Caenorhabditis elegans: one gene and its partner. The protein of the gene in region 2 purifies or fractionates together with the protein of the main gene of each other region. This does not show direct contact. Each region holds a gene or a part of one and is shown on either strand. Other genes may lie near its edges. The genes, in order: natb-1 and sbds-1.

Region 1 (3,154 bases), on a different chromosome or scaffold from region 2:
GAGAAAATGAAAGCCGGCACACCACTGAATGATTCTGATAGACTTCCATGGCTTCAAGCTATTAACAACTACGCAAGACTCAATCAAGGATACGTTATCGCTTGTTCTGCGCTTAAAAGACGTTATAGATCCATTCTTTGTGAACATCTTCCCAATGGAGCCAGCGGAAGAGCTGTTTTCATTCTGTTGAATTTAAAAAGGCAAGTAATGTTCAGCGCGCAAAAAAATGTGGTGAAAGAAATGGGCAGAAAAGTGAAAATGGACAACAAACAACTCAAATTCGCACTCGCTTCCGTCCGCTCGTTTTCCCACTTTCACACATTTTCACGCATTCATCGTTTCATTTTTTGCAGGGAAGTTCTTCAGCAACGCGTGAATTCCCGTCCCGGACACTTCATGCCATCTACTTTACTTGATAGTCAGCTGGCTACACTTGAACTTCCGAGTCCCGATGAATCAAATATCGTCACTGTTGATGCGAATAGTGAAAATGTGGATCAAATTGTTGATACAATTGTAAAGACTCTGGCATTGATTTGTGAATGATTCTAGAAATCTAAATAATATAAATAAATTTAATAATTTGTCATAACTGACAAGACAACCAACACAATAAACATTAAACAATAAATAAATACTAAACAAAACAATCTAAAATTAATCCACGTCTCTACTGTGCACGAGATAATTCAAAGGAACCATCGCTTTCTTTTCAGGATCGCGAGAAAGCGACTTCCGCATATCAAAAGCATCTTCGTCCCTATCTCCAGTGTAGTATCCAATAATTTGCCGGTAGACGACATATCCAAGCTTCTTATACAATTCGATGGCGATCTTGTTCGAAACACGAACAAACAGATCGACGAAATATGCTCTACGACTGAAAATTCTTAGATTTTAATAAAATATTAATTTGCCATCACTTACGCTTCAGAAGTACGTTCCAAGAACTCCATCATGTAGGCGGCTAGTCCCAATCGACGAAAATTTGGAGCCACAGAGAGAGCAGTTACATGTCCGTGCCAATTGGTGTCGCGTCCTTCGATTTTTCCCATGACTGAAAAATTAAACTATTTCACATTTATGTTTCATTTATTTTCAAACAAACCATAGGCCATAATTTCCCCGTTTGGATGTTCAGCAACTTGGTAATACTCCGGATAGTTCATCATATAGTGCAGGTAAAATTGGAAGCCATACTGCAAAAATAAATATATTTAAATTTTTTTTATTTACTGAGCAATTTACCGTTTCAGTGTTGATATCCAAGTTCACGTTATTGAACTTGAACATATCCATAACGTCGAATGGCCGGAGAGTTGTCATTTTTACTCGCAGTTCTGCAATATATTGCAATATTGAAGGGTAAATTTAAGTGTTATATTAATCACAAAGAAATTGCATTACTTGAGAGAGTTAACAAATTTTAAATTCGTTATTTGCAAACAAAATGGGAAAATAAATTTGGCGAACGCGGAAAAGAGTTGAAAAAGTGCTAAAACGAGGTGGCACTATTAAAAACGGTTCAAATAAATTTCGTAAAGGGCATAGCGCTGTGTTGTCAGAATTTAAATTATTTTTGCAGCTCGTTGATTTATTTTTAAGCATAAAACAAGCTATTATCAGGCTAATTAAGTTAAAAATTAATAAAAAAGAGTAAAATTCCAAATTAATTTGCAAATTCCTAAAGTACGCAAGTTTAGTGCGCGGTGTTTGCGGACTTGTCCACCGTAGTCCGTTGAAAAATTATCCTCTTTCGTTTTTTGTGTTTCAAAAAATAAATCGGTCAGGCGGTCAGGCGCTCCTCCTGACCGTCATCAAGTACAAACAAAACACTAACAGGAGAAAAAATCAATAAGTGACTAGCAGGGTGAGTATATTGTGTATACCTCTGCTTCTCTCTTCCACTTTTCTCTTTCTTTTAAAGAAATTCCAGTTTTTTTGCTTCCATTTTCACTTTCAAGTACACTATCTAATATACCTCATTTTGTATGCATTCAGGTGACTTGACTACTCGAATGGAAGCGGTTAACTAACAAAATATCAACATCATGCTAGGCTATTTTATGTAAGTTTAAATTTAGGCATTTTTCCACATTTTAAAACTTGATTTATTAAACGAAAATTTAATTTCAGTGTACTTATTCAACCGCTACTACTCTGTATCACAATTCTAGTCCTCTCAATTGTCATCTTCCTTCCAATACTGGTATATTTTCTTCCACGCTACACACAGTTCATCTTCTTTCTCAATTTCCGTTAGTTTTTCTTTTTTATCTTATCTTTTATCTTTGATCTATGTTACCTTGTTAAGGACGTCTGCCGAACACCGATTACAATGATTTGGCGTCGAACAACGTTAAATCAATCGGAAGATCTCTTCATTTGCCTGGAAAAAGTGGAAGGATTGGTGTTTGGCACATTCTGCCCAACAAATTGAGTTTAGAATGGAGAACAGAAGGAAAACATCCGACAGAGAGAGATTTTGACGATATGATGAGGGATTCAGAGAATCAGTAGGATTTTCAAAGAATGAATTCAAAAAAAATCAATAAATTTCAGAATTATCTTCTACGCTCATGGAAACTCGTTCGATCGCACATTCTACCATCGTGTGGAAATGTACAATTTGCTCAGTGATTGTAATTATCATGTCGTCTGTTTCGATTATCGAGGATATGGAGATTCAGAAGGAACACCAACCGAAAAAGGAATTGTTGAAGATACAAAAACAGTATACGAATGGCTGAAGGAGAATTGCGGGAAGACGCCTGTTATTGTATGGGGTCATTCGATGGGAACTGGGTGAGTTAAATTTATTATTTCACTGCAATCAGAAATTTTTAAACTCAATTTTTAAAGTACTGAGGATAATGCAAAAAAAAAATGCTGACTGATTTTGATATCAAAAAATACAAATTTAAGATGGCTTTTTTGAGCATAGCTCTAGTTCACCAAAATTAATAACATTTTTTCTTGAAAAATCGGGTTTCAAGAAATTAAAAACAGCTTCATATGTTGCAGGTGTAAATCAAAATTCGAAACTTCCATATTCAAAATTCGGAAATGTTTCGTTTTTTCCGAAAAATTGCTTCAAGTTTTGGCCATTTTTCTTTTTGTTAAAAAAAATTTAAACATTTCCAAATTTTTTTTA
Region 2 (4,480 bases):
AATTCATAAAAAATGTCACATGGCTCACCAGCCCCATCGGCGTCGGTTTCCAGTGACGGCGAAGAGCCAGAAATAGACGTGATGCCGAGTAGTGACGAGGAATCCGAGCCAATATACATTCCAAAGGAGAAGGAACCCGTCGTGATTCGTGGAGTTGGAAATATCACAGTGTAGGTGGTTTTTAAGAGAAAAAAAGCTATATTTATCAAAAAAAATCATCGAATTTTCCTTCAGATTTGGCATGAATTCCCGTTTCAACACGGAATATCCGCCCGAACTAACCGGATATATTGCTCCAGAAGAACTCTCGGCGACACTGTCTCGCGTAAATTCTGTGCTCAAACGCCACGTACAAACGTCATCGCGCTGGCTTTTATGTGGATTAGCGTTTTGCTGTTGCTCAATTGGATGCTCAATGTGGCCGGTGTTATGTCTGAATCGGAGGGTAAGAATTCGAAAAATTAGGCGAGATAATTCGGCTCCGTGTTGATTTACGAGGATTTTTTCGCCGATTTTCCAATAAAATTCATCTGAAAAGTGGTTTGAGACACTTTGAATGGGTCTGCTTAATATTTAGCAGACCCATAGTTGGTCTGCTAAATATTTAGCAGACCCACAGTTGGTCTGCTAAATATTTAGCAGGCAATGGCAGTTATGAACTGTTTAGTTTGAAATGTTTGAAACACTTTGATTTAAGGTAAGAAAACCAACTGAAAACCACTAAAAATGTGGAAAGAAACCGCCAGAAACTCGAAAAATCTAGAAAAATTGTGCCGTGAAAAGCCTGTAATTTTTTTTTTTAACCAAAAGAACTGAAAAAATCTAGATAAAATCCCCGTAAATCGACACAGCCCAGTTTTCAGTTAAATTTTCTCTTAAATTCCCCAATTTTCAGACCGTCTTAGCGCTGGAAAAATGTCTGGACCACGAGAATGTTAGCCTTTATCACAAATTGGGCCTCCACTGGTCCCTGGCTCGGCGCCCAACGGAGCCCTCAGACCGCCTGACCGAATATGTGCTCGAATTGAAAACTTTGCCTAAACCCGCCTTAAATCTTCCCGATTAGTCCCCATCCGGAAATTGCGAAATTTTGCACATTTTTCGAAAAATTTCGCATTTTCGCCCACTGTTTCCAAACAAATTTGTACTTTTTTTGTTCTTCCATTTGACCTGATTTTTCCGTATTTCTGTCTATTTTTGTATATATTTCCCGATTGTCATCACCACCACCACTTCCCCCAATGCTTTATTCAGGGTTTTTAGTTTTTTTTTTTTTCAAATCGAATCTAGTCTACCAGGCTTAAATGACTGAAAATTGGCTTGAAAATTATTCGGAAAATATCAAATATACTGAAATTCTTTAAAATTTTGAAAAATATATCTACTTTTCCGAAAAAAAACATGAAAATTCTCATTTCTGAAACTAATGTGAGCTTTTTCGAATTTTTTTGAATCTCAGAAAATTTGAATTTTATCGAAAATTTTCCAATTATTCTTATATACCGAATTTTCAGTCATTTAGACCCAATTTTAACTAAATTCGAATCCGATTTTTCGTTTTTTCGACGCTACGACCCCGAAAAACACCCATTCTTCTCACCTCAACGACTGGTTTTATCTCTTTTTTATTTGATTTATCGACTTTAAAGTTTAAAAAAATTCAGATTCTCCGTTAAAATGAAAATTTAGATTAAAATTTTTTTTCGACATTTGAAAAAAAAGTAGTTTCAAATCTATTTTTATATCTCAAAATGGTCTCTTTTGTTTTAAAATTAAAAATGCCAAAATCTCTTAAAATTTCAGCCGAAAAAAAATGTCAAAAAATATCAAAACGCCGACAAATCAGAAAGTTCTGACCAATGTGGCAGTGGTTCGAATGAAGAAAACCGGAAAACGATTTGAAATCGCTTGTTACAAGAATAAAGTTGTTAATTGGAGAAATAAGAGGTAAAATATATATTAATTTTTAAAAAAATCATATAGAAATCTGAAAATTTTAATTCTCAAACCATTTTCTCAGTGATAAATAAAAAAACAGTTGTTTCTAAATTAACCTTTTGAATAATTTTGTTCAAATATTATTTTTTGGAATTAATATTTACCATATCAAAAATCAATTTAAACAATTTCCCAAAAATCTAAAAAAATTTTCAGCGAAAAAGACATTGACGAGGTGCTCCAAACCCATACAGTCTTCTCAAATGTCTCAAAAGGACAACTTTCCAAGAAAGAGGAGCTTATCGCCGCTTTTGGAATCGAGGATCAGTTGGAAATTTGTAAAATTGTAAGGAAAACTTGGATTTTCTGGAAAAAAAGAAATTTTAAAGTTTTTTTTTCAGATTAAAAAACATTTTGGCCTAAAATTTGGTGTAATTAGTGTTATTTGTCATCTAAAAAGTTGAATAAATTTATTCAAAATAGGTAGAAAAAGACAATATTTCCTAAATTTCAGATTCTCGACAAAGGAGACTTGCAAGTGTCGGAAAAAGAGCGTCAGGCGGCTTCAGATCAATCGCTGAAAGAGGTACAACTTGCCACGTAGCAAAAAATGAAAAAATTTTAGATTCCAGGCTAAAAACCTGTTTTTTTCTTTAAATTTTTAAAAAATTAGGTAGTTTTTTTCTCCTGAAAAATGTAAATTTTCCTCCAAAAAAAATCCTGAAAAATCTCAATTTTTCTTCAAAAAAAATCCTGAAAAATCTCAATTTTCGTCAAAAAAATTCCTGAAAAATGTAATTTTTCATCCAAAAAATTCCTGAAAAATCTCAATTTTCCTTCAAAAAAAATTCCTGATAAATCTTAATTTTCCTCCAAAAAAAAAATCCTTTAAAAATCTCAATTTTTATATAAAAAAATTCTTGAAAAATGTGAATTTTCATCCAAAAAAATTCCTGAAAAATCTCAATTTTCCTCTAAAAAATTCCTAAAAAATTCCTAAAAAATTTCAATTTTCCTCCAAAAAAATTCCTGAAAAATCCCAATTTTTTCTAAAAATTCCTAAAAAATCTTAATTTTCTCCCAAACAAGTTCCTGAAAATTTTTAATTTTTCTTCAAAAAAATCCTGAAAAATCTCAATTTTCCAGGTATCCCAGCTGATTGCCTCAATGGTCGTAAATCCTGAAACGAAGCGTCCAGTTCCACCGTCAGTAATCGATAAAGCTCTACAAGAAATGCACTTTTCCCTGAAACCGAATCGTTCCTCAAAGCAGCAGGCTCTCGACGCAATTCCAAAACTTCGTGAAACTCTGAAAATCGAACGAGCCAAGATGAAGATCCGTGTGGCGATTCCGACAAAAGAAGCGAAATCCGTGCACACGAAGCTTAAAACCCTATTCAGTGACGTGGAAGTTGACGATTGGCAGGATGGAAGCCTCGAGATGGTTGGGCTCATTGAGCCCGGATCGTTCAGAGCTTTGGACGATTTGGTCCGAAATGAGACGAAGGGACACGGAAGATTGGAGATTCTCAGCTTGAAGGATGTCGTCGAAGGAGAATTGCAGATTTCTTAAATTTCATGTTAAAAATTTTATTTTTTTGTTGCTTTTTTGCTCTTTTGCACTCAAAATGTGCAGACATTTTTGAGTGTTTTTCTTTTTTTCCCCTCCACACACCCGAGAATTCTTTTTGGATCTCAAATTGTTATCATCAACGTTCCCATGTTTTTTCCCAGTTACCAAAAACTTTTTGTGTCAGGTTTTCAGAAATCATTATTGCTTTTAAATGAAAAGTGTTAATCTTACAAATTTTTGAGAAAAACAATTTGGAAAAAAACCCCAGGAACATGATTTGAAGGCTAGAAAACTAATTCTCTAAGTTTCCCCGGCTCGAAAAAAATTCGTTCAATATTTATTTTCCATCACTTTGCATAATTTACAGTACTCACCAGGCCAGCGAAATTCATGAAATTGTACAATTTTCTTGTTGTTTTTCCAACAAAATTTAAAAATAACCCGGACTAGTCGAAAACAAGGCAGTCGTGGGGTACTGTAAATTAGGCGGCCTACCAAGTTGAGCCTTCGCCAAGTAATCCTCTATTTCCCTGTCACAACCGATAATGGGGCAATGTCTTGGAACCCTGTGCACTGTAGATTCAGCTACAGATAATATTTCCAGCGTCTATCAGCTGGCAGGCCCAGTTGCGGTGAAAGAGAGCCCACGTATTGCTGAACGGGACCCAAAGGTAATATTTTTCGTTTTTTTTTCAGAGTCTTATGTTTTCAATCTTTTTTGCTGAGAAACCTTCGAAAAAAAAAACAAATCTAAGCTTAAGTCTAAACCTAAGCCTATGCCTGGAGACACAAGCCTAAGCCTACGCATAAGCCTAGGCCTAAACCTAAGCCTACACCTAAGCTTAAGCCTAAAGGTTAGCCTAAGACTAAGCTCACACCTAAGCCTAAGACTCAGCCAAAGCCTAAGACTCAGCCTAGGCCTCAGCCAAAGCCTACGCCTAAGTCTATGCCAATTTCTAAGTCTATGCCT

What was found.
Region 1: the proteins of sbds-1 (region 2) and natb-1 fractionate together in Caenorhabditis elegans (co-fractionation; one large-scale study listed by BioGRID). This does not show direct contact.

Annotation. Positions count from the first base shown.
Region 1 is NC_003283.11:7,982,092-7,985,245, forward strand, and holds natb-1 (N-alpha-acetyltransferase 20), read right to left. Parts: upstream 1,341-3,154; 5' UTR 1,327-1,340; coding exon 1,249-1,326; intron 1,200-1,248; coding exon 1,109-1,199; intron 1,058-1,108; coding exon 928-1,057; intron 881-927; coding exon 658-880; 3' UTR 566-657; downstream 1-565. Other genes in the region: F26D11.1 (Gluconokinase), read left to right, coding at 1-200, 354-546; abhd-12 (Serine aminopeptidase S33 domain-containing protein), read left to right, coding at 2,052-2,068, 2,137-2,258, 2,315-2,516, 2,563-2,805.
Region 2 is NC_003281.10:635,743-640,222, reverse strand, and holds sbds-1 (Ribosome maturation protein SBDS), read left to right. Parts: upstream 1-1,803; 5' UTR 1,804-1,813; coding exon 1,814-1,947; intron 1,948-2,154; coding exon 2,155-2,284; intron 2,285-2,452; coding exon 2,453-2,524; intron 2,525-3,084; coding exon 3,085-3,510; 3' UTR 3,511-3,737; downstream 3,738-4,480. Other genes in the region: tag-266 (Golgin subfamily A member 7/ERF4 domain-containing protein), read left to right, coding at 13-170, 235-445, 896-1,066; eakr-4 (EAK-4 Related), read left to right, coding at 4,056-4,181. UniProt on the Caenorhabditis elegans protein: Required for the assembly of mature ribosomes and ribosome biogenesis.